4 linked regions of the Elephas maximus indicus genome follow. The protein of the gene in region 2 interacts with the protein of the main gene of each other region in a pairwise test. Links are inferred from orthologs where the notes say so. Each region holds a gene or a part of one and is shown on either strand. Other genes may lie near its edges. The genes, in order: TRAF3IP1, ABI2, CCDC102B and cone-rod homeobox protein.

Region 1 (7,148 bases), about 38 Mb from region 2:
AGCAATTAGCATATATATTTTTACCCAAGTAGAGAAATCGTTTTCGATACTTAAAAAAAAAAAAAAAAAAACCCGTTGCCATCGAGTCAGTTCTGACTCATGGTGACAGAGTAGAACTGTGCTCCACAGGATTTTCTTGGCTGTAATCTCAATGGAAGCAGATCGCCAGGCCTTTCTTCCATGGTATTGCTAGGTGGGTTCAAACTGCTAACCTTTAGGTTAGCAGTGGAGTGCAAACACTCGTCCCCACCTCGTTGTTGTGGTTGTTAGGTGCCATCAAGACAGTTCCAACTCATAGCAACCTATGTACCACAGAACAAAACACTGCCTGGTCCTGTGCCATGATCACAATTGTTATGCTTGAGCCCACTGTTGCAGCCGCTGTGTCAAGCCATCTCATCGAGGGTCTTCCTCTTTTTCGCTGACCCTCTACTCTACCGAGCACGTAGAAGACAAAGCAGACCAGTCAGTCCTGATTCAGAACACCTTGCTTCTTCCACACAACGTGTCCACCTCGCCAACCAGTCAATTCTTCTCGGAATTCTTCTGCTCTCGTTTCCCATTAGGATGCTCCAGTCACACCAGAGAGGTTCAGGAACCCGCAGTGTACTGAGCACGTGGCAGCCCTGACAGGCCCTCTGCCGCCCTTCTTCGGGGCTACATTTTTGTTGGGGAGACAGACCAACACGGAGGATGAAAGGGTAGACCAGAGGCACCCGCAGTATTGTCCGTGCTGCCGGCTCACACCTGGCTCACCCCTACTTGCTGCCCCTCGGCTGAGGGCGACACAGGGCAACCGGGACACAGCATGCTCCCACCCAACTCTCAACGCAAAGTGCAGGACAGGCTGGGAGAGAAGCACCGGCTGAGCAGAGGAGGAGACCAATGCAGGCAGCACTTGGGGTTGGTTAGGATCTGAGAGAGGTTTTAGGCACTGTAGGGTTTTTAAATGAGGCACTCCTGGGAGGCACACGTGATCAGCAAAGGCGAGATGGCAATGCAAAGTCTGGGGAAGAGTAAGGTGACCAAGCAGTGGGAGTGAGGGAGAAGAAAAGCGAGAGGACCAACAGGCCCGGGGATAAGGGCTAAAAGCCCCCAAGTACAACCTGACTCCTGATTCCCAAGGAGCACACCCTCGTCCAATGTCTGCCCACAAGTCCACCCTGGAAACAGGCGCTGCCAGCCCCCACATACACCCTCCCCCAAGGGTTACTAGGAGCCTTGACCAATTCCATTCAACGAGCCAATGTTTGCTGCACAGCCTCTGTGTACTGTACCTTACTCGTGGCAGCTCACCCAGGATATGCCAACAGAGAAGTTCCAGTCTCCGTGGTTCAGGAACTGACAATCAAGAGGGGAAAACCACCCCCACCTGTCAGTTTGTTGTACTGCAGTGGCTTGTGCATTGCTATGATGCTGGAAGCTATGCCACCAGTGTTTTAAATACTAGCAGGGTCACCCACGGTGGACAGGTTTCAGCAGAACCTCCAGACTAAGACTAGGAAGAAAGGCCTGGCCACCTACGTCCGAAATTAGACAAAGAAAATCCTGTAGATCACAACAAAATATTGTCTGATACAATGCTGGAAGATGAGCCCCCTGAGCTGGAAGGCACTTAAAATACTCAACAGTGGACTTGGACATACATACCATTGGTCACGAAGATGGCACAGGACCAGGCAACATTCTATTGTGTTGTACACGAGGTTGCCACGAGTCGGAGCCAACTTCAAGGCAACTAACCATGATGACAACCACAGCACGAAAAGGTACACAGCCAGCCAGTATCTACTTAAAGCAGACTTATCACCAAGCAGTAAATTCCTCCACTAGTTTTTCCTTTCAGGCCTCCCTACGACCACCTCCAATAAATTCACCAGCAGGTATTTACTAAGCTTGCAAAATGTGGTGACTGCTTTGCCTTGCACTGTCGACGGGCACCTAGAAAAAGAACTCCATTTTCTCAAGGTTTACTGAGCACTTTCCACGTGCAAGGCCTTGCAGGACCCCAGGAGGAAGGCAGCAGGCCCCTCCCGAGCAGGGGAGGGGAATCACCGAGACAAGCGTGGAGGACCAGCCCTAACTAGACACCGGTAGGCAGGAAAGCAGAGTGCTCCCCAAGGGGCCGGGAGGATGGGTAAGAGGAGAGCAGGGGCGAGGGCAGCAACTCTCGCAGAAGGCTAACAACAGCTTAGGCCCAGTGGCCGCCCCCCGCTGCAGGCCAGGCCAAAGGCCGGTCTCCGCGGGCAGGAGCCCCGCAGAGCAACGCCAGGCGCCCGCTGCCACCCAGCCCCGGGCCGAGCCCCGACTCGCATCTCCAGCCCGCAACCTCGGCCCTGACTCCAACCCCAACCACTCGCCCTGACCTCGACCCCCAGCCCAGGCGCCGATCCCCGGCCGCAAACTGCACTCCGGTCCGCACCCGAGGCCCGACCCGACCCCTGGCCGCGCCCCGGCATCGACTCCGACCCGCACCCCCACCCCAGCCCCCCGGCTCCCAGTCCGCACCCGATCCCGGCCAGCACGCTGACCCCGGCCTGCACCCCGACCCCGGCCAGCACGCTGACCCCGGCCCGCATCCCCCACCCCGGTCCGCACCCCGACCCCGACCCGCACCCCCCACCCCAGCCCCCCGACCCCGGATCCGCACCCCGACCCCGGTCCGCACCCCGGCCCTGCCCCGCACCCCGCACCCCGACCCCTACCCGGATCCGCACCCCGACCCCGACCCGCACCCCCCACCCCAGCCCCCCGACCCCGGATCCGCACCCCGACCCCGGTCCGCACCCCGGCCCTGCCCCGCACCCCGCACCCCGACCCCTACCCGGATCCGCACCCCGACCCCGACCCCGACCCGGCGCCCACCTCCGTGATGATGTCGTGCAGGTAGCGGAACGGGGGCTTGCTCAGCAGCTTCTCCGTCAGCGGCGGCCTCCGGATCACCTTGCCCAGCGCGTCCTGCGTCCGCCTCACCACCGCCGCGTTCATGGCGGCGCCCGCGCGAGGCCCGCCCGGCCCGAGCCCCGCTCCCGGCCCCCGGCCCCGGCCCGCCGCCCCGGCCGCGCTCCCGGCCCAGGCCCCGCTCCCGGCCCCGCTCCCGGCCCGCCTCGCCGCGCCGCCCGGCTTCCGTCCCACAGTGCACGGCGGCCGCCACTGCGCGTGCGCGTCGCGCCCTCCGTCGCTAGGGCAGCGCGGCCTTAGCAACCGACGCGCCGCCGCCCCGCCCGCTGGACCCGCGCGGGGAAGCCGCCAGGGGGGCCTGTCCGGGAACAGCGTGTTCTCCGGGATCCGTGTTGTCTGTCTCACAAAAGGCACGGGCGCTCGTAGGCAGGTTCATGGGAGGGGCTGGACTGAAGTATCCCAAAAGACACGGAAGAAAAATGCCCTCGTCCATCTGTCACTTACTGTGGCTTTTCGGACAGGTAACTTGCTTTCTCTGAGACGCCATTTGTTTCCGTAAAACAGGGACGATAATGTGACTGTCTGCCTTACCTACCCCCCAGGATCGAAATCAAACCAGTTACCATCAAGCTGACTCCAACCCATGGGGACCCCGTGTGTGTGTCAGAGTAGAACTGTGCTCTCTAGGGCTTTCAATGGCCGACTCTTCAGAAGGAGATCGCCAGGCCTTTCTTCAGAGACACCACTGGGGGAACTCCAACCTCCAACCTTCCAGTTAGCAGCTGAGCGCTTAACGTTTGCACCACCCAGGGACTCCACCCAGGATGGTGCAAAGGGAATGACCTAGGCAGGGAGACCCCATGGAGGCCCTGCTGTGCACCGAGGGCACAGGCCTGACTGCCCACTTTGGCACTCATGGCTATCAGAGACCCGCAGCTGAGGCGTATCCAGGCATCAAGGTGTCTGAGAGACACTAGCAGCATCCAGGACAAAAGAGCAGAGCACCAGACCCCTCGGAGAGACTGACGGGGATTGACCAGGGAGTGGACCATCCTCTGGGAGCACAGATTCGCTCCAGGCCCTGCTGTCCACTGCGTCGTCCTACGTGAGTCCACTCCTCCACACAAGAGGGCACAGGCAAGGCTGAGAAGAGGCAGCCAAGGACCCCAGATGCAAGAAAGACACCCGGAACCAGTACTCAGTGGGGGCCAGAGGGAGGGGCTGGCTGGGAGGGCTGCCTAGCCTAAATTACCTCCCAAGCTCCTCAAAGAACCATGAAAGCACTGAGGAAAAAGGCTGAGAATATAAAAACAAGTTATTCATAAAAAAGAGAATCAGCTGGATGACTGTAGAAAAACACAGACAGAATGTGTTTGACAAATAAAAGCCTGGCAGGGGAGGCTTTGGAAATCAACAGTTTCTGACTGAATGCATGAAACAACCATGGCCATGACTCAGACAGGGAGAGAGAGCCCCACGAAGCCTTGTCTCCAGGCCTTGCCTCCCCAAGCCCACCCGACAGGGAGGCAAACATTCCCAGAGACAAAGGCCTGAGGAGACTGGCTTAGCCCAACCCTGAGCTCCTCATCTGCCCAGGGCCCAGGATATGGGTCAGCTTCAGGGAACGCTGGGCAGCAGGGACCAGGCACGGGGAAAGAGTGGCCACCTCGCCAGCCCTGGACCCGCAAGAGCAGCAGAGAGTTACTGCTAGGGTTGCCAGAGAAAATACGGGACAACTGGTTAAACTGAAAACCCAGACAAACATCAAATAATTTGTTAGTATAAGTATATCCTGTTTAGGATATACTTATACTAAAAATTTGGAGCCCTGGCGGCTCAGCTGCTAATTGAGGGCTTTAACCAAAAGGTCAGTGGTTCAAATCCACCGGTGGCTCCAGGAGAGAAAGCTGTGGCAGTCTGCTTCTATAAAAATTACCTGAAATTCTATTGGGCAGTTCTACTCTGACCTACAGGGTCGCTATAAGTTGGAATCTACTTGATAATAGGATTTATACTAAAAATTTATTCCTTCTTTATTTGAACTTCAAGCTTAACTGGGCATCTTGTGCTTTTGTTTGCTACATCTGGCCACCCCAGCTGTGGCAGCAAACAAACGCCTGTTCACTGGGGCCTGGAAGCCCCTCGGAGCCAATTTCTCCCACAGGTGGGAACCATCTCCTGTGCCTGCTGCATCCAGCTTTGGGGTACAAATCAGGTCGCCGCCCTTCGAGTGTCTGTGTGGCCATCCCTGAATCTCCCTTTCTGTCTGGCGTAGGCTGGAGGAAACACACACAGCAAACAATCACACTGGAAGTTATTATTCAAGCCTAGGGAGATGCCCTGCCCTTCCTCCCACCAGGCCCTTCCCTGGGGATTTCCATACTTCACACCTTGCAGAAAAGGGTTGGGGGTTTTGATCCCATCCTCTCCCCACAAAAGGCCTTTGAGCAATCTATGTCATTTTCCCAAAAATTTTTAAGCTGTGCTTGTAGCAGCTTCTCTTGCAGGGAGGGGTGTAAGTTCTGCCTCACGAAGCACCTTGCGGGGCATCCAGACTTTGACGACAGAGCCATTGTAAATGCTGCAAACAGGTAAGCGGAGCCGGGGGACCCGCTTGTTTGCCCACCAACGCAGGCCCAGCCCACTGCTAAGGTGGGGACCCAGTGAGCCCGCACCGGGAGGTGCAGAGGAACCCCAGATGTTTTCAGGGAGCCCCTAACCACACTCCTGTTGACCAGTCTCCACTCTGACCCCAGGCACACAGAGCAAATTTTATTGTTGTTGTTATTATAAAGGCCAGGGTATTTAAAGCCTGAGAAATGTTCTCGTAGCTTCAGCAACCAGCTCTCAGGAGGCTATAGCTTGGCTATAGCTGATACTGTCCCTGCCCACGCAGCCCCTAAGCCCCATTCTATGACTGGAAAATGTCTATTTTATGAGTCTTGAGGGGGTGAGACTGCTTCCCATTTTGGGAGCTGAGAATGGAAAGGATTATTGTCCCAGCCAGCCTTGCACCGGGGCATGTCATGTGACCTGGGTCCACCAATCACGCACACACCTGCACCAGACTTTGCCTCAGGTGCCAACAGTGCAAGAAGACAGGGGCCCCGAGCTCACTCTCACTGTCTGTCTAGCTGAGGGTGGGGCAGGTGCAGGTTTAGCTGCCGGCCCAAAAGTGACCATGGTCCAAGCTTACCTCCAATGCAATGTGTTCTAGGGCTCTGCTGCTAGCAGTGCTGTCTCAAACTGGGCCTTCCAGGCACCAGATTCAAGCAAGGATGAGGAGACTTTGTCTTACGTACTTTGAACGTGTTATCAGGAGGGACCAGTCCCTGGAGAAGGACATCATGCTTGGTAAAGTAGAGGGTCAGTGACAAAGAGAAGACCCTCAGGAGATGGATTGACACAGTAGCTGCAACAATGGGCTCAAGCATAACAACGATTGTGAGGGTGGCGCAGGATCGTGCGACGTTTCCTTCTGTTGTGCACAGGGTCGCTATGAGTCCAATGCGACTCAACAACACCTAATGACAGCAACAACAAATGTAGGGAAATATTTTGTTTTATACTCACATGAGAGAGAACAACCTTTCTGAACAGACACACGGACACATAGAGGACTTATAACTTCAGCCCTTCAGCTTCATCCATAGATCAAAAATAAACACAAAAACCCAGCAGTCCAGATCTCAAATAGCTGTCCTCCCACCCAGTGGGCATGAAATCTTCATTGATTTGACTCACAAATAGACAAGCAGGCAAACCAACAAGAGCAGCAATGTGGATTCTCTGCCGTTTGTCACCCACAGAAGATTGGTCTCCACCATCTACACAGCAAATAACACTAAATGGTCAGATCACAGGACCAAATCCCCATCATAGTGCCACCAATGATAAATGACTTATTGGCCAGGAGTGAAACAGAAATAAAAACAAAAAACACAAAAGCAGTAGGAAAAAAAAAGAGAATCAGTGAAGTTAAAGTTCTTTTGCTGCTTGGGTTCTCTCCAGGAACCAAGAGGTGCCCAGGTTTAAATGGCCCACGAGGTGCACTTCTCTGGCACCACAGGTTACTTGGCTAGGCAGGGGAGTACAGCTGGGCATCTCAGGGGAAACTCCAAAATGATCGAAGTGTAATTTTCCAAAAGGTAGAGTCAGGACTCTCCTGCAAATATAAAATGACCACTTGTGAAAGATTTTATTCAATTCATTGAATTCATGAGGAAACTAGTAAGATGTTAAAACCA
Region 2 (6,938 bases):
AAAGCCAGCCAAATGTGCTGCTGGATCAGCACAAATTCACCGCAACATGTTCTATTTATCAACTATACGACAAACAAACCAAGTAAGAGCTGTCATTGTGAGAGAGGGCGTCAATAATATAGCTACTGAATCCTAAAACAGATGGTAATCTAAGAAGTAAAAGTGTAAAGTCTACTTCAAATGCTAAACTGTAGAAATTAGGGATTTTAAAAACCCAAATCCATTTCTATCACATCAATATTTATACACTGGGTTTAAAAACACCACCACACTAATTTTTGAGTCCTATTGCTAAGACAGATAATGGTGGCAGTAATGGTCCTCTTTTTCAGCTACAAAAAATATATAAAAAGAAGACAATCACTGATGCCTGTACCCTTTTGGCTTTATTAATCCATTTACTTTTATCTTTATGTAGCAATCGTAAGAGATACAAATCTGTTTCTTTTATTACTTACTGGTGATAACCACACCCAATCACTTTTCCATCCTCAATTTCTCTTTTGACTACAACTCTTTCCCATAATACGGAGCACAAGGCAATGCAATTAACACTTCAATCCTTTAGGTTTTGCCTTTCCTACAGATTGTGAATTTCTGAGACTAGCATAGCTTCTGCCAGTTTTTCTTTCCACCTGCAGTCTATTACAGAGTATAAATCACCAAATCAAAATGCAGCCCTGCTGGTGCAGTGGTTAAAAGCTATGGCTGCTAACCAAAACGTCAAAGTTCAAATCCACCAGCCGCTCCTTGGAAACCCTACTGGGCAATTCTACTCTGTCCCATTGGTTCACAGAACTACCCCAGCCGTCACAGACCTATATGGTATTAATTTGCTCACACATCAGCCTCTCCTAAAAACTAGACTATAAAACTCTGTAGGCACTAAGTATAAGACCCCTCGGTAGCACAAGCTGTTTGTGCTCCACTACTAACCTAAACATTGGTAGTCTGAGCCCACCCAATGGTGTTTCAAAAAAACTCCTGGTGATATGCTTCAGTAAAGATGATCGCCAAGAAAACCCTATGCAGCAGTTCTACCCTGTAATACATGAGGTCGTCGTAAGTGTGAACCAACTAGATGGCAAAGGATCTTTTTTAGGCACTCCGTGGGCACAGTGCTGAGCACAAAGACATTCAAATACATTTAGTGAAAAAATGAGAAACTAAACTTTTGAATCTCTCTGACCTCACTCAGTATCAGTGAAGTACCCTGCCAATACAGACATTTGTATTTTTTGTATTAATCTTTGACCCAAGACACAGCCTTCCTTTTCCAATTAGACATATTTTCAACTGCCTCGTTGGAGGGAAAAAGCTTGTATTATGCCTGGTTCATTCTCCAACAGAAATATTCCCTACAACATAAAACAAAGTTCAGTATATGTCTAATCAAGTAAAATCTCACACTACCACCATTAACCATACCCTCCTTACAAAACTTATGAACTTATATATTTTAACACTTGGGTTTGTTTTTTAATTTACTCTAAGACTTAAGAATGCTTCCCAGTATAGCTGATGTTAAGAAAGATGCCTGGAGAGATGGAGGTGGAAGCAAGAAAAAAAGGTCAGAGTGAAGAAACAATTTAACAGTTTCCATTTCCACCTTTATCCCAAGAGAATTTAAACGGGAAGGAAAAAAAAAATGGACGCAGAACCTGTAATTCAGAATAAATCATCAAGGAAACAAAAGATGCTGAATTTGCAAACTGTGCGTTTTATCCTGCTAGTCTTTCAAATAATTTTTAAAGGACTTTTTTTTTTCCCAAATCCAGAATCTTCTGCTTTATCCTGGAGCAGCTGGATCTCATCTCACCCAATAGCCACTCTCCTCCACCCCCCCATACACATACATACATACACACACATGCCACACACGCACCGTTACCACTATGAGTCCCTGTGCCAAACCAACAATCACGGGAATACTAAACCATGAGGTTCATTTTCCTAATTCTCTCTAAAAAAACAATCACAATCCTTTTTCTCTCAGGAAAATTACCAATCTAACGGGACGGGGGGGCGGGGGGGAGAGCAGCTCATTATCACGCAGCTTCCCTTTCCCATAAGGAGAAAAATGGCAATAATTTCCAACAAGAAACAACTGCTCTTCTACCGTATCCCCGTTAGACCTAAAGGGGGAAAATGGTCTTCTGAGGCATTCACATGAATAGAAAACCGAAGTATTTTACTTTGCAGCAACACAGCCCCTTAAAAATCCTCCAGTGCTTGAGGGTTGGGGGTGACCTATCATTCCCCTCCACAGCCTCCCTACGTGGGGGAGCAGAATTTTGGCAAATAGAAAATGCCACTCTCCGCCTCCCCTGCCATCCCGAACACAGACCGGCACCGAGTGCGGGGGCGGATGAGGGCAGGAGAAGCGAGGAGGCGGGGACACGACACACGCACCGCGCCGAGGACTGATTCACGGTTTTTAAAAATGTTTTAAAAGCCACAATCTCCTCCTGCCGAGGATTCCCACCCACTCTCCATCCCCTGTCCCAGTCTTCACCCTGCACCCCCCCGTCAGGGGCTCAGCCCGGCCAGCTCTCCCGCGGCGGCCTCCGCCCGCTCCCGACGACCCCGGGAACGCGGCCCCCTCCCAGGGGGTCCTCCGCACGCCCCTCACCGCCGAGGCCCGACGGCCCCGCCCGGGGGATGCGTCGCACCTGGATGTAGTTGTTCTCGCAGTAATCGGCCACCCGTTCCAGATTCGTGTAACTGTCGAAGAGGGCCCGGCGGCCCCCCGGGATTTCCTCCTCCAGCAGCATCTGCAGCTCCGCCATCTTCACATCCTCCTCTCACCTCATACAGACCGCAGAAGTGGCCGCGGCGGCAGCGCCAGGGAAACCCAAGGCTGGCAGCGGAGGAGCACAGGCGGCAGCGGCAACCCGCCGGAGCGAGAAACACCCCCCGCGCGCGACAGGGGAGGGGGCGGCGTGGACGGGGGCGGGGCGCGAGCCGACGGACCGCGAGAACGGTCACCGCGGCGACGGCCGGCCGGGCACGCGCACGCGCGCTCCCCTCCCTCCGCCCCCGGGAGCCCGAAAAAGATTCCCACCCTCGGCCGCACCGCCTGCCCCTCCCCCACTTCCGGCGTCTCCTAGCGACGGCGGGGTGGGGGCCGGGATACGCGCGGGAGCCGGGCGCGCGGTTAACCCTTCGGCCCCCCGCTAGTTCCGCTGCCGGGGAAGTCCGCTCGGACGCCTTTGTTAGCCGGTCAAGTAGGCGCTATCCTGCTCCGCTGTCATCCCGCCGGCGTCTTCCACGACTTTCGGCGTTATTCTCACCCTGGGGGCCGGATCCCTGTGCAGATCGAGGCTTTTCTCTGCTGCTGATTGAAGGGCGAGGAGTCCATCCTCCGCGAAAGATCACATCTTCTCAGGGCTGGGATCAAACTCACAAAACTTCCGTGCAGCTTTAAGTGCCGCCTCAGTTTTCATTTTTCTCTTCATCTTAAAGCTCATCCGTTTTGGTACGGATAAGTAAATTCCAGCTTCTTCATCCCAGATCTCCTGTACTCTCGGTTTTACTGCACTTACTTGACCACCAGAGCTGTCTTCCTTTGCCCGTCCCCTGGGGCTCAGCTTTTTTTTTTTTTTTTTTGCCCTAAGTAAAAGTTTACAATTCAAGTCAGTTTCTCCTACAAAAACTTATACGCACATTGCTGTGTGACCCTAGTTGCTCTCCCTACTGTGTGACAGCACACGGAGCTCAGCTTTTTGTGCTTGCCCTCTTCCATGGTTCTCTTCCTCACTGACAGCCTGTTCTGTCATCTCCCTGGTTCTGTGAACGTCGCTGTCTTTTTCTTCCAGAATTCAGTACTTCAAATTCTGAAAACGGTTTTGCTGGTACTAATTTTCTTCCTTACAGGGCTGTTACATGGATAAAATAAAAGTTTATGTGAAAGCACCTTGAAAAGCGAAGTGCTACAAAAATTGTAGATAATTTTGATTTTGCAGAGTTGTTACATCACTCTGTTCTTCTTCTCCAGGTATTCAACTTATATATATCTTTTTTTCCCTAAATCTAAGTAGCCTTCAGAATGTCATTCTTCAATAACTAAAACTCCTGACAACTGCTGAGATATTAAGTCTGTGACTTTTATTTGTACTGGGGAAAGTCAAGGTTGACTCCAGGTGTACCATTTTAGGCATTTGTAGTTTAGAACAGGATCCATTATTTCAGCTCTTGTTCTTGCTCTTTTGATCTCTTGGCCCTCCTACAGTCATTTTTCTTTCTCGTTGAACTGTAAGAAGCCCACAAAATCGAGACCAAACCCAGTGCCGTGGAGTGGATTCTGACTCATAGTGACCCTATAGGGCAGAGTAGAACTGCCCCATAGAGTTTCCAAGGAGCACCTGGCGGATTTGAACTGACGATCCTGGGGTTACCAGCTGTAGCACTTAACCACTACGCCACCAGGGTTTCCAAGAAGCCTACAAGGTGGGTTAAATTATAGGCAGACTTTTCCCTTACTACACTTATTCCCACCTAGCATCCTTTCAAATAAAAAAAAAAATTTTTTTAACTGATTATCAATTAGCCCAACAAACAGATTTCCCTGAGGGATGATTCATCACCCTGGGAATCACTGGGAGAGCAAGGCAGCCCACTCTAAGATTCTAACTCAGCAGCCCTACAAGGAGAGAGTAGAACTGCCCCATAGGGCTTCCAAGGAGCAGCTGGTGTATACTTCTTCTAATTTGTGACTTCTTTGAACCTTAGTTTTCTTAGCTGAAAAAAACAAACTCAGGTCAGTAGTTACCAAATTTGAGCATGCATAAGAATCACCTAGAAAGCTTGTTAAAACACAGATTGATGGGCTCCACCCCCAGAATTTCTGATCATTTGGCCTGGCCCAGTAATTTATATTTTTAACAAGTCCACTGGAAGTTCCTGCGTGGTGCAAATGGTTAAAGTACTCAGCTACTCAGTGAGAGGTTGGAGGTTCATATCCACCCAGAAAGGCCAACGATCTACTTCAAAAAAATCAGCCATTGAAAACCTCATGGGGCACAGTTCTTTGACATACGTGCAGTCACCATGAGTTAGAATTAGCTTGACAGCAGCTAGTATAAGTTCCCAGGTGATGCCAATGAACCCAGGAGATGCCAATGAAACTGCCCTTCTCCATCTGAAGGTCTATGATTCTAGTTGCTGGCAGCGGGGAATTTCCACCAAGAATGGAAATCAAATCTCCCACATAATCAGTTAGCAGCAGAGCTCATTAACCATTTGCACCATCCAGGAACTCATCTTTTCTCATTTAACTGGTTAAGTAACTATTTTTTGCTAACCACAAAGCTACTATTTAAAAACAAGCACTGCTAGGTTCAGGCTCAAAACAGGCCAAACAAAAATCAAATTATAGTATAACCATTATACACGGAATGACTTCCTCTGATCTTGGAAAACTCAGAATGTTCGTTTATTCATTCATCAAGTAAATTTAGCATGGATGCATTATGGAGAAAGGACCAGGAAAGTATTGCTAAAGGCAGACTCTAGGGGCAATCCTGGTAAGAAATGATGGTGATCTTCAGGGAGGGTGATGAAAGAAGTGGGTGGAATAAGAGAAATATTTGAGGTAAAATCATAAGGGGTTAGTGAATGATTCCATGTGGAAGCTAAAGGATAAATCCATGCTGGTAGACAGGTGTCTGGCTTGGGCAACTGAGTAGTTGGTAGTTCCATTTACATTTAAATTACATGATATTCCACAAAACTGTAAAAACTTTTTCCAGTTTACCTTCATTCTCTGTTTCAATCATTATCATCAATAACCCTGGCAAAAAGGACACTATTTTAGGTTCTGTGTTGCTATTGTACTACTCTTGCTAAGTTATTTAATTAATAAACAAAATCCATAAATTGTATATCGTTTTGGCCCTCTCAAGTACTAAAGACTAACAGTTGTAGAGAAAGAGAAAAAAAGCAGGTAACTTGCTTAATTCCTACTATGTGCCAGGATTAATTCAACATTTTACATAAATTAACTCTTAAATATTAAAAAGTAGGTTTTATTATCCCCATATTTTACAGTCCCAAAAAATGAGGATTAAAGGAGCCCTGGTGGTGCAGTGGTTAAGCACACGGCTGCTAACAGAAAGGTCAGCAGTTCAAACACACCAGCCGCTCCTTGGAAAAAAGATGGGGCAATCTGCTTCCGTAAAATTACAGCTTTGGAAATTCTTTGGGGCAGTTCTACACTGTCCTATAGGGTTGCTATGGGGCTGAATTGACTGAGGGCACAAAACAACAAAAGAAGTTAGAAATTTACCAAACCTGCTTAAAAGTCATGGAGTTAGCGGTTCCACACTGGTTTGATAATTTAAAACGTTTTTCTTTTGCATTGTAACATGACAAATCAAACTTCTCTTTATTTTAACTGTAAAGATCAAAGGCATACTTAGATACTTGAAGCCATTCATTATTTTTTTTCTTTTCTTTTTAGGGCTTAACAGAACCCATTTCTTCAATTGCTCCTCATCGTATATTATAGAATTATGGCATGTTCAAGTTGGAGGGTACCTTAGAAAAATCTAGGTCCTACCCCAACATTTTACCAATGAGGAAATATGAAACTCAGAAAAGTTAAGTGATTGCCTAAGGCTACATGGCTAGTAAATGGGAGAGTGGAACAAAGGAAGTTTTAGAAACAAATCTTATTTTAGAGCTCTTTCATGACATTTTAAAGTAATACACTCACAAACACAATGAAATTTAACACAATTCCTTTTTATGTAATTAAGTTCTCTGTTAGATATTACACAGTACTCAGGGGAAATGCAGAGTTTTCATTCAAACAATTGCATGATTAATTGAGTTCCCATTCTTACCCCAAATAAGAAAAATCATAATCAGTGATATTTTCATATTATTTGTACACATTTCTAGGTCCACGGGTGGTCCAAATCGTTTGCCCTTGGCTA
Region 3 (7,622 bases), on a different chromosome or scaffold from region 2:
CAGTAAATGCTCTAATATATACAAGTTCACAACAACAATAACATCAAAAAAACTGTGTGTGGTTACATAGGCAGATACGTATGCAAATATGTGTATAGAAAGGCATATGTGAGTAAACGTACCTGCATGTATAGGAGTATCTGTAGGCATTTGTGCGTGCTGGATTTTTTTTTTTTTTTATATAATGAAGCACATAAGGGACACAGTTATGGAAGCTTCCTGAGCATATCCAAACAACTTGTGGGATTGGTTTACTGGGTTAAAAGCAAGGCTTCAAACTGGTTCATTCCAGTTTGAACCCTACTGAGAATTTACATTTCCACCCCAGGTATACTGAATCAGAATCTACATTTTAACAAGAACCCCAGGTAATACTCATATAATAAATCTTGAGAACCACTGCTCTGCTAGTGATTCTCATAATTGGTCCCTAACCAGGAGCATTAGCATGGCCTGGGAACTTGTAAGAAGCCCTGGTTAAAAGACTTAGGACCATAGTCTAGTGGGACAAATCAGTCAATTGGCATAACATAGTTCATAAAAATAATGTTCTACATCCTAGTTTGGTGAATAGTGCCTGGGCTCTTAAACGCTTGTGAGCAGCCATCTAAAATACAACTATCGGTCTCAACTTGAATGGAGCAAAAGAGAATGAAGGAAACCAAAGGCTCAAAGAAGAAACTAGTCCATAGGACTAACAGCCCACAGGAACCACAGCCTCTTTTAATCAGAGACCAGAAGAACTAGGTGGTCTCCGCCTACTACTACCGACCATTCTGACCAGGGACATAAGAGGTCTGAGACAGAATCAGAAAACAATTCAGAACAAAATTCAAATTCCTAAAAAAAGGCCATACTTACTGGACCAAAAGGGATTAGAGGAATCCCTGGGACTGCTGGCCTAAGATACCCTTTGAACTTGGAACTGAAGCTATTTCTGAAGGTCACCTTTCAGCCAAATAATAGATTGGCTTAATAAAAAAAACAATATTATGCATGTATAATGTGCTTCCTCGAGCAATCAACTATACGAGACTAAATGGTCGACATTTACCCAAAAGCAAAGATGACAAGGCAAGGAGGGGAAGGGAAGCTGGATCAATGGAAACAAAACAAACAGAATGGAAATAATGAGAATGCCGACATATTATGAAAATTATAACCACTGTCACCAAACAACTTGTATAAAAATTGTTACATGGGAACCTAATTTGCTGTGTAAACTTTCACCTAAACCATAATAAAATATTATTAAAAAAAAGAAAATATAGAGGAAAAAAATCATTACAAATGATACAGGCCATTTTTTTCAGTTTTCAAGAGAAACAAATTTTAAAAAACGGACTCCTTTAGTTAGCAAAAATTTATTAAAAGAACTTAAAAAATGCCCAATTTTGGAAACAGGTTCAAACAGCTTCCAAACACGTTTTGGAAATGTAGGCAGTGTCACAGAACCCGGTGATCCAGGGCCCGTTTTTCTCCCCACACTAAGGCGTGCCTCTCTTCACGAGTGTGATCCACCAACCAACGCACTGGTGGGCTCACTGAACAGGTGTAGCAGGTAAATGAGCAGGCGAGATTCAACCTCAAACTGCGTTTTCGAAGCCTACCTCATCCTCAGTACAAAGCTTAGTATTAATTTAAGAATTTGTATTTCAGTTTTTCGTCTCCCCTTCACACACACACACACCTCTTCGCCCAAACCGCAAGAAGCCCGCGCCACCAGGTTCCCATAGCCCCCAGACGCGGCCAAGGGCACAGACGCTCCGCGATAAGGCGACTGCGCGTGCACGTCATCTCGCGATTGCAGCCCGCTAAACCAAGCCCAGAGGGGGCGAGAACGGAGGCCCGCCAGCCCCGCCCCGCCCCCCGCGCAAGCCCAGAGGAGAGGCTGGCCGGGTCCACTAGGGAGCAGAGGCTCGCCCGCCCCGCCCCCGCGGTCCGCGCATGCTCAGAGGCAGGGCCGGCGGGGTCCGGGAGAGAACAGAGGCCGGGTTGCCCCGCCCCCGCCTTCCGTGCCCGGCTTCATTCCGCGTTCGAAGGGGCCCGCTTCCCCTTCCGGAGAGCGGCGGCCGGCGCCTGCGTCTGTCCCGGCCACTGCGGAGTCGCTACTGCGGCGAGCATGGCAGCTCTGAGCAGTGCGACCGCCTTGCGCCTCTGCGCCACAGGTATGGCCGCGCGCGAGACAGGAGAGCCGGGGATCACCCCTGCGCCGGGGGTGGCCTCTGGACTGGGGGTTACCTGCGGGGTCCGCGGGGACGTCTGCGGGCTCCCGGCCTCCCCCTTCGGACCCCGCGCAGTCCTGCGGCGTCCTGACACCTTAGGGTCCTCCACCCACTCGGCATTGCAGTGCATACCCGGTGCCAGGCCCCAAAAGATGCGCTGTCCCCCAGGAGATTCCCTGTCCTCGTCTTCGTCTTTTGTGGCAGGGGTACCGTCGCCCTGGCTTCTCAGACAGGCGAGCAGGTGACACTTTCCCAACGTGTGGCCACATTTTGCTTTGGCTTTTTAGGGGCCAAGTGTTGTCGTATTTGGAGGGTTTTCACCATCCATGGGCAAAGGGAAGGATGGTCAAGGACAGATCACTATCAGACCGCTGGAATTGTGCAGTGACGGCGACAGCGGTGTGGTGACCCTTTTGGGCCTCTTCCTGCCGGCCTCCCTGCGTTCACTTACTCAGCAACCATTTGTTGCCTTTCCACTATGTGCCAGGCACTGCTCTGTCATAAGTACTAGAGTGGTAGCTCAATTCTGTTTCTATCTAAATATTAAAAAAATAATAATATTTTGGATGGCACTTGAAGTTAGAAGTACTAAGGAAAGGGGAGAAGTATAGAACAATTTCTGTCTCTGCTCCGAACAGGTGGAATGCTAAAATGGAAAAATAGGATCAGAGGAAAGATATGTTGAAAAAGAGCTTTTATATTTTGAATTTACTATCATACGTAGGACTTACCTGTCACAGGGAAATTACGTTGCAGAATAAATATCTATCAAACAAATGAACTCCTTGTGGTTTTCCTTCACTTGTACCCCGGGATGAATCAGTGATAGAGTTTCTGGTCAGAACATCAAAAAAAAAAAAAAAAACGTTTTATAGATGACTAAGCGTCAAGTGTGAACGAAATGATAAATCAGAAGTATACATTTAGTCTCTTCTTTCTGTTTTTCAGTTATTTTTCTTGACATGGCTTTTGGTAAGAGTGTGGTGCCAGATTTAGATGACTCGTGAGTATACGTATTTTGTTTCAATAGTATTTTAATTTCTAATTCTGTTGTTAACCTGAATATTTACATGTTCACATCTTAATAATCTAATTCTAATCTTAATAAAAATAATAGACACTATGCTCATATATTACCGATTTTATCCCAGGAGTTCTAAGTGCTGTTTATATATGAGATAGGGTTATGCTCAAAAGAGTTTTACTGATATTTACAAGGTCAAAAACGTGGCAGACCTTTCAATATTCTATATTACCATTCTATAGCACCTGAGTGAGTGCCGGAATTTGGGACATACTATATCTTTTACCCCCACAGCATTAGTCCCAAGACCTTGCTTATAGTAGCTGGGGAGCCTAGCTCCAAGCCAAAATCCTGTATGTACTCTTTCAGGCCTGACCATAAGCAGTTACTGGCAGGCCTCATGGGAGAAGCTGCGCTGCCCACACCAGACGAGTTGCACAGCTGGTGCCCTGTGGTGTCTGGAGGGAGTTGTAGTCAGGCTCTCAGGACCCCTCCCCCCATAATTGCCAGCCATACTCATATGCATATCTGCATTCTTAGCCCAGGCACCTCCATTTGTTACTTGTTACTTCCCTTCACTTTGACCTTCCACCCTCAGGCCCCCCCCCCCACCCCGCCCGCCCAGTTCATGAAGAGGAGAAGCCTTTTGCTTGTGGCTCCTCGGCAGCAAGAGGATTCCCCATCTGCGCTGCATACTTACTCGGGTGCTCTGCGTGCAAAATTGCGTCCAGTGGTTGCTGTTAGCTCCCAGCACGTCCTGGTGCCAACAGACCTTCTTCAACACAGCAAGTTATTGAATCTCAGGCCTTCAGTAAAAAAGAATGTAGGGCCTGTCAGGATCCCTTTGCCCAGCAGCCTGAAGAGACCTTAGAGCCTCGGTTAGTTGGCTTCCATAATGAAGAAGTTGATCTTGTTAAACTTAGTGAGGGAGTGGTGCCTTGTAGGGCATGTCATTACAGACCTCTTTGCAGATGCACTGACAGGAAGCCTTAGTTTGCCTAAGGAGGAGGTGGCTAGTGAGAGGGCATGAACATCGAGACTCTCCTTCTGCAGCTGGGTACTGTTTGGGCTCTGATAGGTCTGTCCCACCTATGAAGAGTTTCCTGCCACTGAAAAACATGTCTGGGCCACCCTCTCAGACTATAGTGTCCCTGTGAACCACCCTGGTGGTCCGTTGGGTCTATAATGAGGGATTGGGAATAATTGGGTCATGAGACTGTTAACCTGACCCAGATTTCTAGGTTTTTCCGTACTACTCTCTCTGGTTACCTGGCCCAGTTAAACCTCCTCATGAGGTCAGGTCATTTGGTCCATGATACAATCTGAATCTTAACTGACATTCCCAGACGTGGAAAAAATGGCTACTGCCAAGATAGCAAAGATCGACCAACAGAAGAGTGGTAACCAGGTGCCTTTTCCTGGGCAGCCCGGCCAAGGGCCTTCCTGAAAAGACTCAGTCTAGTTACTTGAAAATAGGGGTCTCAAAGGAGGAGATTGATAGGCTTTCTGCCAAGGAACTACTGGCCAAGTACTTTGATATGGAGGTCTGACAGGCAGCTTCATTAGTATCTGCCCACTGATAGTCCCTTGTGGCTAATACAAGTGTTGTCCCCAGTGGAGTTGGAGACCCCTGCCAACTTTACTTGGGTGTCATGAATTGAATTGTGTCCTCCCAAAAATTCTTGTCAGCTTGGCCAGACCGTGGTTCCCGGTATCATGTGGTTATCCTTCATTTTGTGATCTGATGTAATTATGTGTTGTAAATCTTAGCCTGTGGGGAAACCCTGGTAGCATGGTGGTTAAGTGCTGTGGCTGCTAATCAAAAGGTCAGCAGTTCGAATCCACCAGGCGCTCCTTGGAAACTCTATAGGGCAGTTCTACTCTGACCTGTAGGGTTGCTATGAGTCGGAATCGACTTGACGGCAGTGGGTTACGGGTTTTATGCTTATGGTTATGGTCCCATTTTGGAGTAGAGTTGTCTACTATGTTAATGAGGCATGATTAGGTTATATTAATGAGGATCAAGGTGGGATGTACCACCCTTGCTTGAGTCACAGCTTTACCTTACAAGAGATAAATGGAGAGAGAAGGAAACAGAGAGGAGGGAACTCCTACCACCAAGAAAGAAGTACTGGGAGTGGAGCACATCCTTTGGACCTGGGGTCCCAGCACTGAGAAACTCCTAAACCCAGGGGAAAATTGATGAGGACCTTCTCCCACAGTGGACAGAGAGAGAAAGCCTTTTCCTAGAGCCAGCACCCTGATTTGAGACTTCTAGCCTCCTAAACTGTGAGGGAATAAATTTCTGTTAATACCATTCACTTGTGGTATTTCTGTTACAGAAGCACTAGATAAACTAAGACACCGGGCCTCTCATCTTTAAAAAATACACAAGACTAGGGGTTAGCTGGAGGTTCCTTTGTCCTCAAGGGGCACCAGAGGTCTTATGCCAAGATCATAGTTCTGAGAGAAAATTGCAGTTCTTGGGCCTTTTGGATACTGGTACACAGGTGAGTGTGATCACTGCAACTCCTGGCACCAGCATGAGAGGGAAACAGATCATACCATCAGGTTTTGAGGCCACTGCCACTGATACCCTGGCCTAAGCCCAAGTAACCTTCAGGTTCTTGCATACCTGCGTTTATTGGCCACTCTGCTGAATATATTACTGGTATTGATGTATTGTCAGGGCGCAGAACTACTCACCTTCACTCTTAAGCCCTGATGGGAATTATTGTAGTAGGGCCATCTTAGTGGGGCATGTGGAAGACTGTAGTCCCCCTGGCACCTGGGCGGTACACATGGTTAACTGCTCGACTACTAGCTTTACTGCTAGCTCAATTACTAGCCCCCACAGAGGCGCCTTAGAAGACAGACTTGGCAGTGTGTTTCTGAAAGGTCACAGCTTTGGAAACTATATGGAATGGTTCTACTCTGCACACATGGGGTCACCATGAATCAGAATCAACTCAATGGCAACTAACAACAACAAAACCAATGTCCAGTGCAGTTGTCTCCTAAAAATAGTATCAGCCACCTGGAGGAGAAAAAGATAGAACCTTCCTCATTGCTGAGCTTAAGGAAGCCTAGCCTGTCTGGCTTGTGCAAAAGGCCTTGGGTGCCTGGACTCTTTCCATTGATTATAGGCACTCAGTGCTGTAGTCCCACCCTTGGCACCAGTGATACCTGATATTGTGATTGTCACAGAGGCTGTCACCCAAGCTGAGAGAACTTGGTATTCAGCAGTTGACATCACAATTGCCTTTTTAGCATAACCTCTCCATGGGTATGAACAGGCTTGATTTGTCTTCATTGCAGAATGGGTTGCAATCCGCATTAAAGGGTTCTTCCACAAAACTACCTGAATTTCCCAGCTGTCTGCCAGCAATGGGTAGTCCATGATTGGAAAAAGTCTCACTCCCAGTGGGAGTACTAGCCTTGATGACATCTTCCTGGTGGACCCAGACAGTCATCACCCGATAAGGGCTGGAGGTCCTGATGACACACATGCAGTAACACAGCTGGGCCATTAACACAGGCAAGGGACAAGGGCCTCTAGTATGCAGGTGAAATTCCTGGGCATAATGGAGTCACAACGACTCGTTCCAGAGAAGATTGTCACACTTTTGGCTCTCTCTGCCCTAAAAAATAAAAAAGAGGCACAGCGATTTCTGGACCTATTCAGCTACTGGCATCCACCTACTGGGCTGTTACCTTTAAGTGGGGCCTGACCAACAGGGCACCAGGAGTTCTCTCCAACACACCCACCTGGATCCCCTTCCTTTGGGTCGCACCCATCCACTTTTGCTGTTTGACTTATAGGTTTCAGCAGCTTCTCAGATTGGAACCTGTGGCAGAAAATCATTGCCACAGGCCAGCAGTGCCCATTGGGCTTTTGGACCTCTGAGTTCCTGGAGTTGACTGAAAGATATACACCTTTTAACAAACAATTATTGGCCTCTTAGTGGATGCTGAGAACATGAGCCATGATCATGAAGTAGTCATACAACCAGAAATCCCAATCAAGTCAGTCTGAGCAGAGGCCTTGGATTACTGCATTGTGGCAGTTCAGGAATCCTTTCCAGTCTCAGGAGTGCCCCTACCCGTCCCAGGCGTATTGACCAAGGATCTGCTGCCTCCACTGGCCCATTAGGGACCCAGATATAGAGACCTTCCAGACCACACATGGGCCTGGTTCACTGATGGCTCTGCTAGATTAATTTGTACTGGGGTGAAATGGGGTGCAGCTGCCAGTTAACCTGAGAAAGACCTGCCCCTTACTGAGTGTGGTAAAGGAAACTCAGCATGATGGGCAGATTCATGCAGTATGGATTACTACTCTGGCTAACCCAACAAAGGAGCTCTGCTGTATT
Region 4 (6,869 bases), on a different chromosome or scaffold from region 2:
ATTCATCCATTCAGTCACACATATATCCATCTATCCATCCATCAGTCATACATACATACATTTATCTACCCATACATACATAATATCCATACATCCATCCATCTGTGCATGCATTCAATCAGTTAATAAGCATGAATTAATAAACTATGAAAAAAAAAAAAAACCTATTGCCACTGAGTTGATTCCGACTCATAGCGACCCTACTGGACAAAGTAGAACTGTCCCATAGGGTTTCCAAGGCTGTAAATCTTTATGGGAGAAGATTGCCACACCTTTCTCCCACAGAGCAGCTGGTGGGTTCAAACTGCTAACCTTTCAGCACTGTGCCACCAGGAATCCTTTAATAAACTATAGACATTGTTAACCATCTTCTGCTCCTTTGTGGATACCTCAGTGGAACTGACATTCTAGTTGGGGGAGACAAATTATAAATAAACAGTAGGTAAGTAAATCATATTGTATTTTTGGAGGTGATAAATATTATGGAAGGAAACCACTGAGCAGGATAAGGGGGAGCAGAAGGACTGCAGTGGTAGAAGGTTGCAATTTTACGTGCAATAGTCAGTATAACCAAAAAAAACCTAACCCATTGGCGTTGAGTTGATCCCGACTCATAGCGACCCTATAGTCAGTATTGTATAGGTTTCATTAATAAAACAGCCCTTGAACAAAGACTTAAACAAAGTGATAGGGCAAGCCATGTGGTTATCTGAGGGATAAGCATTTCAGATAGCAGGAACAGAGAGTGCAAAGGTCCTAAGGCAGGCGAATGTTCAGAAGGCACATTAGAGGAAGATCCAGGGGTCAGTGTGGCTGGAGTAAAATGAGAAAGGGTGAGAGTGGCAAGAGAGATCAGTAAAATAATGGGAGGAGGCTTTAGGCCACTTCATAATGTTGGCTGTTACTCTATGACCCCTCCCTCCGCCCTCCCCTGGGTACCAGAAAGGTCCATGGAAGTCTTATATGGTCCAGGAGGAGCCCAGGGACCAGAACATCCCACCTGAACCCTGGACTCAGGCAGGTTGATCTTCAGAGCCACCTCCTCACGGGCATACACATCCGGATACTGGGTCTTGGCAAACAGGGCCTCTAACTCCTCCAGTTGGCTCCTGGTAAAGGTGGTCCGCTCCCGCCGTTGCTTCCTTGGGGCGCCTGAGGTGGGAACAGGAACATGAAGCGCTCAGGCAACCCAGCCTCCCACTCTCGTCCTCTATGGGTGCCAGGACAGCTGGGGTGAGGCTGTGAGGTCGGGTGGGGACTCAAGAAGCCTTTTCTGGGTGTCTATCTGTCCAGACTATGGATGCTCCCATTCCCTGTCCTTCTAGACCTCATTTTGTCCCCCAGAAAATGGGGTACACTTTTTTCATTTTGGGGTTCAGGCCTCATCCTGAGAGAAATTGGTGTTAGCCGTGTAAGGAGGCACGTGAGTTTTTCTTTCCCCTTCTGAAATTTATTATGCACTAAAACTTATGCAGAGAGCCCTGGTGGTGCAACAGTTAAGCACTCGGCTGCTAAACGAAGGAATGGTTGTGGTTCGAACCCACCCAGCAGCTCCGAGGGAGAAAGATGCGGCATTCTGCTTCCATAAAGATCACAGCCTTGGAAACCCTATGGGGCAGTTCTCCTCTGTCCTATAAGGTCGCTATGAGTCAGAATCAGCTGAACAGCACACAACAACAACATCTTAGTACTGCGCAGCTGAAATATGACATTGCTGATGTTCAACCAATTTTAGTTCATAAGAATGGCGATTCCGTGTAGTTCAACATAATACAAAAAGCAGGTATAAGAATAATGCCACAAATGACCGAGTGCTTACTGGGCTTAGAAATAAAGCACTGCTGCTGCTGCTGTTGTTAGGTGCCGTCGAGTCAGTTCTGACCCATAGCAACCCTGTGTACAACAGAACAAAACACTGCCCGGTCCTGCGCCATCCTCGCAATCGTTGCTATGTTTGAGCTCCTTGCTGCTTTGCTAACAGATATAAATTCTTCTTGATTCTCCATCCAGGCTGCTGTCCCCACCCCCACCCTAGAGGGAGCCGCCATCCGAAATTTCTGTGAATGTCCTTATGCTTTTCCACATCCCTAAGCAGTGAATTGTCAACAATCCATCTGTCAGTTTGTCTTACTGTGGTGGCTTGTGTGTTTCTATGATGCTGGAAGCTATGTCACCAGTATTTCAAATACCGGCAGAGTCACCTATGGTGGACAGGTTTCTATGGAGCTGCCAGACTAAGACAGGCTAGGAAGAAGGGCCTGGTGATCTCCTTCTGAATATTAACCAGTGAAAACTTCCTGGATCATAACAGAATATTGTCTGACTGGCTTGCTTTGGACACATCATCAGGAGGGATCAATCACTGGAGGAGGACATCATGTTTGGTGAAATCTACAGCCAATGAGGGTGAAGGAGCCCCTCAGTGAGAAGGACTGGGACAATAGTCACAACGGTGGACTCGAATATGCTGTCGATCGTGAGTATGATGTGGGACCGGGCAACATTTCATTCTGTTGTATGTAAGGTCATCATGAGTCTCAGTCAACTTGACAGCACTGGGGGATGCGAACAGTTAAGCGATCAACTGCTAGCTTAAAAGTTGGCAGTTCAAACCCACTCAGAGGTGCTTTGGAAGACAGACGTGATCTGCTTCCAAAAGGCCTTGAAAATCCTATGGAGCAGTTCTAGTCTGCACACCTGGGGTTGCCATCAGTAGCAATCAACTCAACAGCAACTAACGACTTCTAAGTGACACGTGGTATTGTTTTGCATTTGCAGACAGACACATACAGCTGGTGTATGGCCTTGATGTCACCCCTGCAGGTGCTCATCAAAGAGAGCAAGAGACCCCCAAGAACCCCCCCCAAGAGGTGGGGTCAGCCTGGGGTGGCCTGGATGACTGTACTCACTTGGGTAGGACACAGCCTGGTGCATCAAGTCCACACTGGGACCACCCAGGGCCAAGGTGTTGACGGAATAGTGGGGCCCCGGGTTCATATACGCCATCATGATCTTCCAGGATGCTGGGCTCCAGGTCAGGGGGCCTGCAAGAGAAGAACAGGGAAGCTCAAACGCTTGCCCATGACCTGAGTCTCTGCTTAGTTATATGACCTTGAGCAATCGATTTCGCCTCTCTGTGCCTTAATTTCCTCAACTGCAAAACAGCTCTGTGTTTCCGGCTATTGAAGCCTCACTGAGGTTTCAGCAGAGAGCTGAAGACATCATCCAAAAAAGACAAGCTGCTGGCGAGTTTCTTCTGCTTCATGGCAACCCCATGACATATGCGGTTGAAACACCACATTGCTCACGTTTAGCCTGTAGAAATACCAATTCCATATAGTTCAACGTAATACAAAAAGCAGTTAAAGGATAACGCCACAGATAACTGAGTGCTCACTTTGTAAACCAAGCCAAACCAAACCCGTTGCCCTCGAGTCGATTCTGACTCACAGTAACCCTACAGTCACTTTGCTTGGAAATAAAGTACTGCCGTTGTCCTGTGCAGAGCTGACTCCGCGGCAACGGGTTTGGTTTTATGCGTACGGTTTATAAAGTCACCTGGAACGCTGAAATAGCGGAAACAGAACCAGCCTTGTTCAACCTCAATTGCAAAGGTGCGCATCAAGCCACCCAGTTTCCTCTGCCCTGTGCATGCGCACGCGCACGTCCGCAAGTGACCTGAAAAGCAGCGTAACTATTGACTTTGGGGTTACAAAAAAATGTTAGCGAGGAGGCAGAGTCACAAACACGGAATCAGTGTGTACTTGGTTGTTGTTGAATGCCATGGAGTCGGTTGTGATTCATAGACCCCATGTGACAGTAGAACTGCCCCCTAGGCTGTTATTTTTAGGTGAGCTGTGGTGGCGCAGTGGTTAAGAGACCCACCGCTAACCAAAAGGTCAGTAGTTCGAATCCACCAGCCACTCCTTGGAAACCCTACGGGGCAGTTCTACCCTGTCCTATGGGGTCACTAGGAGTCGGAATAGAATCGAACTGACTCGACAGCAACGGGTTTGGTTTGGTTTTAACCTTTACAGGAGCAGATCACCAAGTCTTTCTCCCTCAGAGCCAGTGGGTGAGTTCAAACGGACAACCTTTCAATTAGCAACTGAGTGCTTAACCGCTGCGCCACCAGGGCTCCTTGTGTGTACATTACCCTTAAAAAAAAGCCTGATTCTGCCACTTCTTTCTCCAAGATCTTTTCTGCCTTATGACCACAGGAGAAGATATTCAGCCTCACTCATCACCAGGAGACGAGGGTGACCACTGGGACAAGGGGCTTCCTATGACGTGGGGATTTCAGCGCTAACACTGGAACAGCCCACAACAAACCGTGATGGCTGGTCACTGTAAGGGAAAGGCACATTAAAACGACAGCAAAGGGACCGTTTTTGACCTATGAGTTGGGCAAAGATCAAAATAGTTGCACTTGTGCACTGTGCACAAGCAGTTTGAGATGGGTGCCTAACCCAAAGGTTAGTGCTTCAACCCCCCACCCAGCGGCTCCATGGAAGAAAGGCCACTTCCATAAAGATTACAGCCTAGGAAACCCTAGGGAGCAGTTCTGCTCTGTAACATACAGGGTCACCATGAGTCAGGGGCTGACTCAACAGCAGCTAACGACAACAGCAGTATTGACTTTCCACTCCTTTATCGGGTGCGTGGCAGAGGAAATTGGAACATACTGGGAGCTTTTATTAAAGTAAAGCACCATCTTTCATTTGTTCTGGCAATTCGCCTCCAGGATGTTCCTCAGTGTCCTCACTGTGAAATGGGGATGAATCTAGCATTTCTAGGTTGTTGTGAGGATCCAATGTTTAAGGTGCATAAAATAGCACCCGATGCACAAAGCAAGTGCCCTACAACTGTTAGACGCCCTGGTGGCGAAACAGTTAAGTGCTCGACTCCTAATCAAACGGCTGATGGTTCAAACCCACCCAGAGGCTTCACGGGAGAAAAGACCTGGCCATCTGCTCCCATAAAGATTACAGCCTAGGAGACACTTCGGGGCAGTTCTTCTCTGTCACATGGGGTTGCCCTGAGTCAGAATCATCTAGATAGATGGCACCCAACAACAACATATAACTCTTGGCGATTATTTTTGTCATTGTTATTTGCAAAAAGAGGTTTGTAAATACTAGGATTTCTAATGAAACATATTTATAATTGACAAAATGTGGAGGCAACCTATATATCCACCCAAAAAGGAAATAGCTAAGTACATTATGGCACATCTATGCAAAGGGATGCTGTGAAGCCAATAAAAAGAATAAGGTTGTTCGGCATGAACTGATTTAAAAAGATCTCTAGTACATAGCTCTACCAACAGTTAAGCACGAAAGGTTAAGCGCTCAACTAGCTGAAAGGTTGGCGATTCAAACCCACCCAGAGGCACCTTGGAAAACAGGCCTGGCCATCTGCTTCTGAAAGGTCACAGCCTTGAAAACTCTATGAAGCACAGTTCTACTCTGACATGCATGACACTCACGACACAAGTTGACAACAACAGATCAGGAATGACTCTTTCCCACTCTAAGCCCCCTTTCTCCTCCACATCCTCCAGGTCTCAGCTGAGACATAATTTCCCAGGGAGCCATGCAATACTCTAAACTGGAGACCGCACACACACACACACACACACACACACACGCACACATTTTCTCTCCCCTGTCCTTCAGGACATGGCGTATGTTATATATAACATATTTCTCCCTGAGATAATCTTTAAACCTTAGACCAAAAATATCCCCTGAAGTCTTCTTAAAACCAAACAATAGCTTAGCTTAACTAGCAAAGAATGTCTGCCTTGAGCATTGTGTTCTTTTAAGAACCATCTACTATATGGGATCAAATTGACAACGGCAACTTGAAAGGTTAGATAGGAAGCTTAGGGGACAGTGAGTTTATGTTAATGGTGGGGAGGAACAATTCGAAAAAGGAGGATGAGAATGGTTGTGCAACTCAAAGAATGTGATCAATGTCACTGAACTGTACAAGTAGAAATTGTTGAGGTGGTGTATGGTCTGCTGTGTATATTCTCAAGAACAAATAAAATAAATTAAAAAAAAATAATGTATTTCTATGTTTGTTTACCTGTCCGTTTCATTCCACTCTGTCAGCTACCTGAGACCAGGGACTGGGCTTATCTCATTTCCTGCGGTATTCCCAACACTCCCAATAAAATAATAGAAAAATAAGTAAATGAATAAAAAATGGATGGCATCTATTTTAATACCTGTTCCCTCCATTCCTTCTCATCCCTGTTCTTTTCATCCTTCTCTTGACGGATATTTTTTATTTATCATCAATTGAGTTTCTCCTGTTCATCCAGTAAATGTTTTTTGAGTGTCTACCATGCCCTGGTGTAAGTAAACCCATTCATTATCACATCACCCCGATTCATTTTCCTCAGCATTCTTAATACTGTCTGATGTTTCCTTCTTCATTGTCAGTTCTCTGACTGAAACCTAGAAATACAATTCCACAAAAACAGAGATGCTGTGTCTTTGTTCTTGCTATATCCCCAGTTCCTAAAGCATGGTGGTGGTGGTATTAGTTGCCATCGGTCAATTCCAACTCATAGCGACCCTGTGTGTTACAGAGTGGAATTGAGCTCCATGGGGTTTTCTTGGCTGTAACCTTTATGGAAACAGATCACCAGGCCTTTCTTCCACAGAGCCACATTTCAGTTAGCAACCGAGCACTTAATCATTGCACCATCAGCATTCCTTATCTTCAAGATGGCTGCCAATAATCCTTGCCTCCTGGTATCCACGCCCTTGTGTGATATCCTCCCACGCTGATTAGGGCTGACCTGTGTAACCTACAGGATATTTCAGGAACGACAAGAGTGTGACTTCTGAGGCTAT

What was found.
Region 1: the proteins of ABI2 (region 2) and TRAF3IP1 interact in a two-hybrid assay, tested with the Homo sapiens proteins (2 studies listed by BioGRID and IntAct). The link is inferred for Elephas maximus indicus from reciprocal best matches to the Homo sapiens genes ABI2 and TRAF3IP1.
Region 3: the proteins of ABI2 (region 2) and CCDC102B interact in binary tests that used the Homo sapiens proteins (3 or more experiments, as listed by UniProt). The link is inferred for Elephas maximus indicus from reciprocal best matches to the Homo sapiens genes ABI2 and CCDC102B.
Region 4: the proteins of ABI2 (region 2) and cone-rod homeobox protein interact in binary tests that used the Homo sapiens proteins (3 or more experiments, as listed by UniProt). The link is inferred for Elephas maximus indicus from reciprocal best matches to the Homo sapiens genes ABI2 and CRX.

What each region holds. Positions count from the first base shown.
Region 1 is NC_064824.1:140,403,273-140,410,420, reverse strand, and holds the start of TRAF3IP1 (TRAF3-interacting protein 1), read right to left. Parts: upstream 3,016-7,148; 5' UTR 2,989-3,015; coding exon 2,866-2,988; intron 1-2,865.
Region 2 is NC_064824.1:101,916,010-101,922,947, reverse strand, and holds the start of ABI2 (abl interactor 2), read right to left. Parts: upstream 3,025-6,938; 5' UTR 2,790-3,024; coding exon 2,673-2,789; intron 1-2,672. UniProt on the Homo sapiens protein: Regulator of actin cytoskeleton dynamics underlying cell motility and adhesion. Functions as a component of the WAVE complex, which activates actin nucleating machinery Arp2/3 to drive lamellipodia formation.
Region 3 is NC_064829.1:76,615,130-76,622,751, reverse strand, and holds the start of CCDC102B (coiled-coil domain-containing protein 102B), read right to left. Parts: upstream 3,013-7,622; 5' UTR 2,957-3,012; intron 2,169-2,956; coding exon of another isoform or gene 2,123-2,168; exon of another isoform or gene 1,692-2,122; intron 1-1,691. Other genes in the region: protein disulfide-isomerase TMX3, read left to right, coding at 2,123-2,168, 3,174-3,228. UniProt on the Homo sapiens protein: During interphase, forms fibers at the proximal ends of centrioles to maintain centrosome cohesion. During mitosis, dissociates from the centrosome following phosphorylation to allow centrosome separation. Contributes to CROCC/rootletin filament formation.
Region 4 is NC_064829.1:101,073,869-101,080,737, forward strand, and holds the start of cone-rod homeobox protein, read right to left. Parts: upstream 3,010-6,869; coding exon 2,910-3,009; intron 1,153-2,909; coding exon 1,001-1,152; intron 1-1,000. UniProt on the Homo sapiens protein: Transcription factor that binds and transactivates the sequence 5'-TAATC[CA]-3' which is found upstream of several photoreceptor-specific genes, including the opsin genes.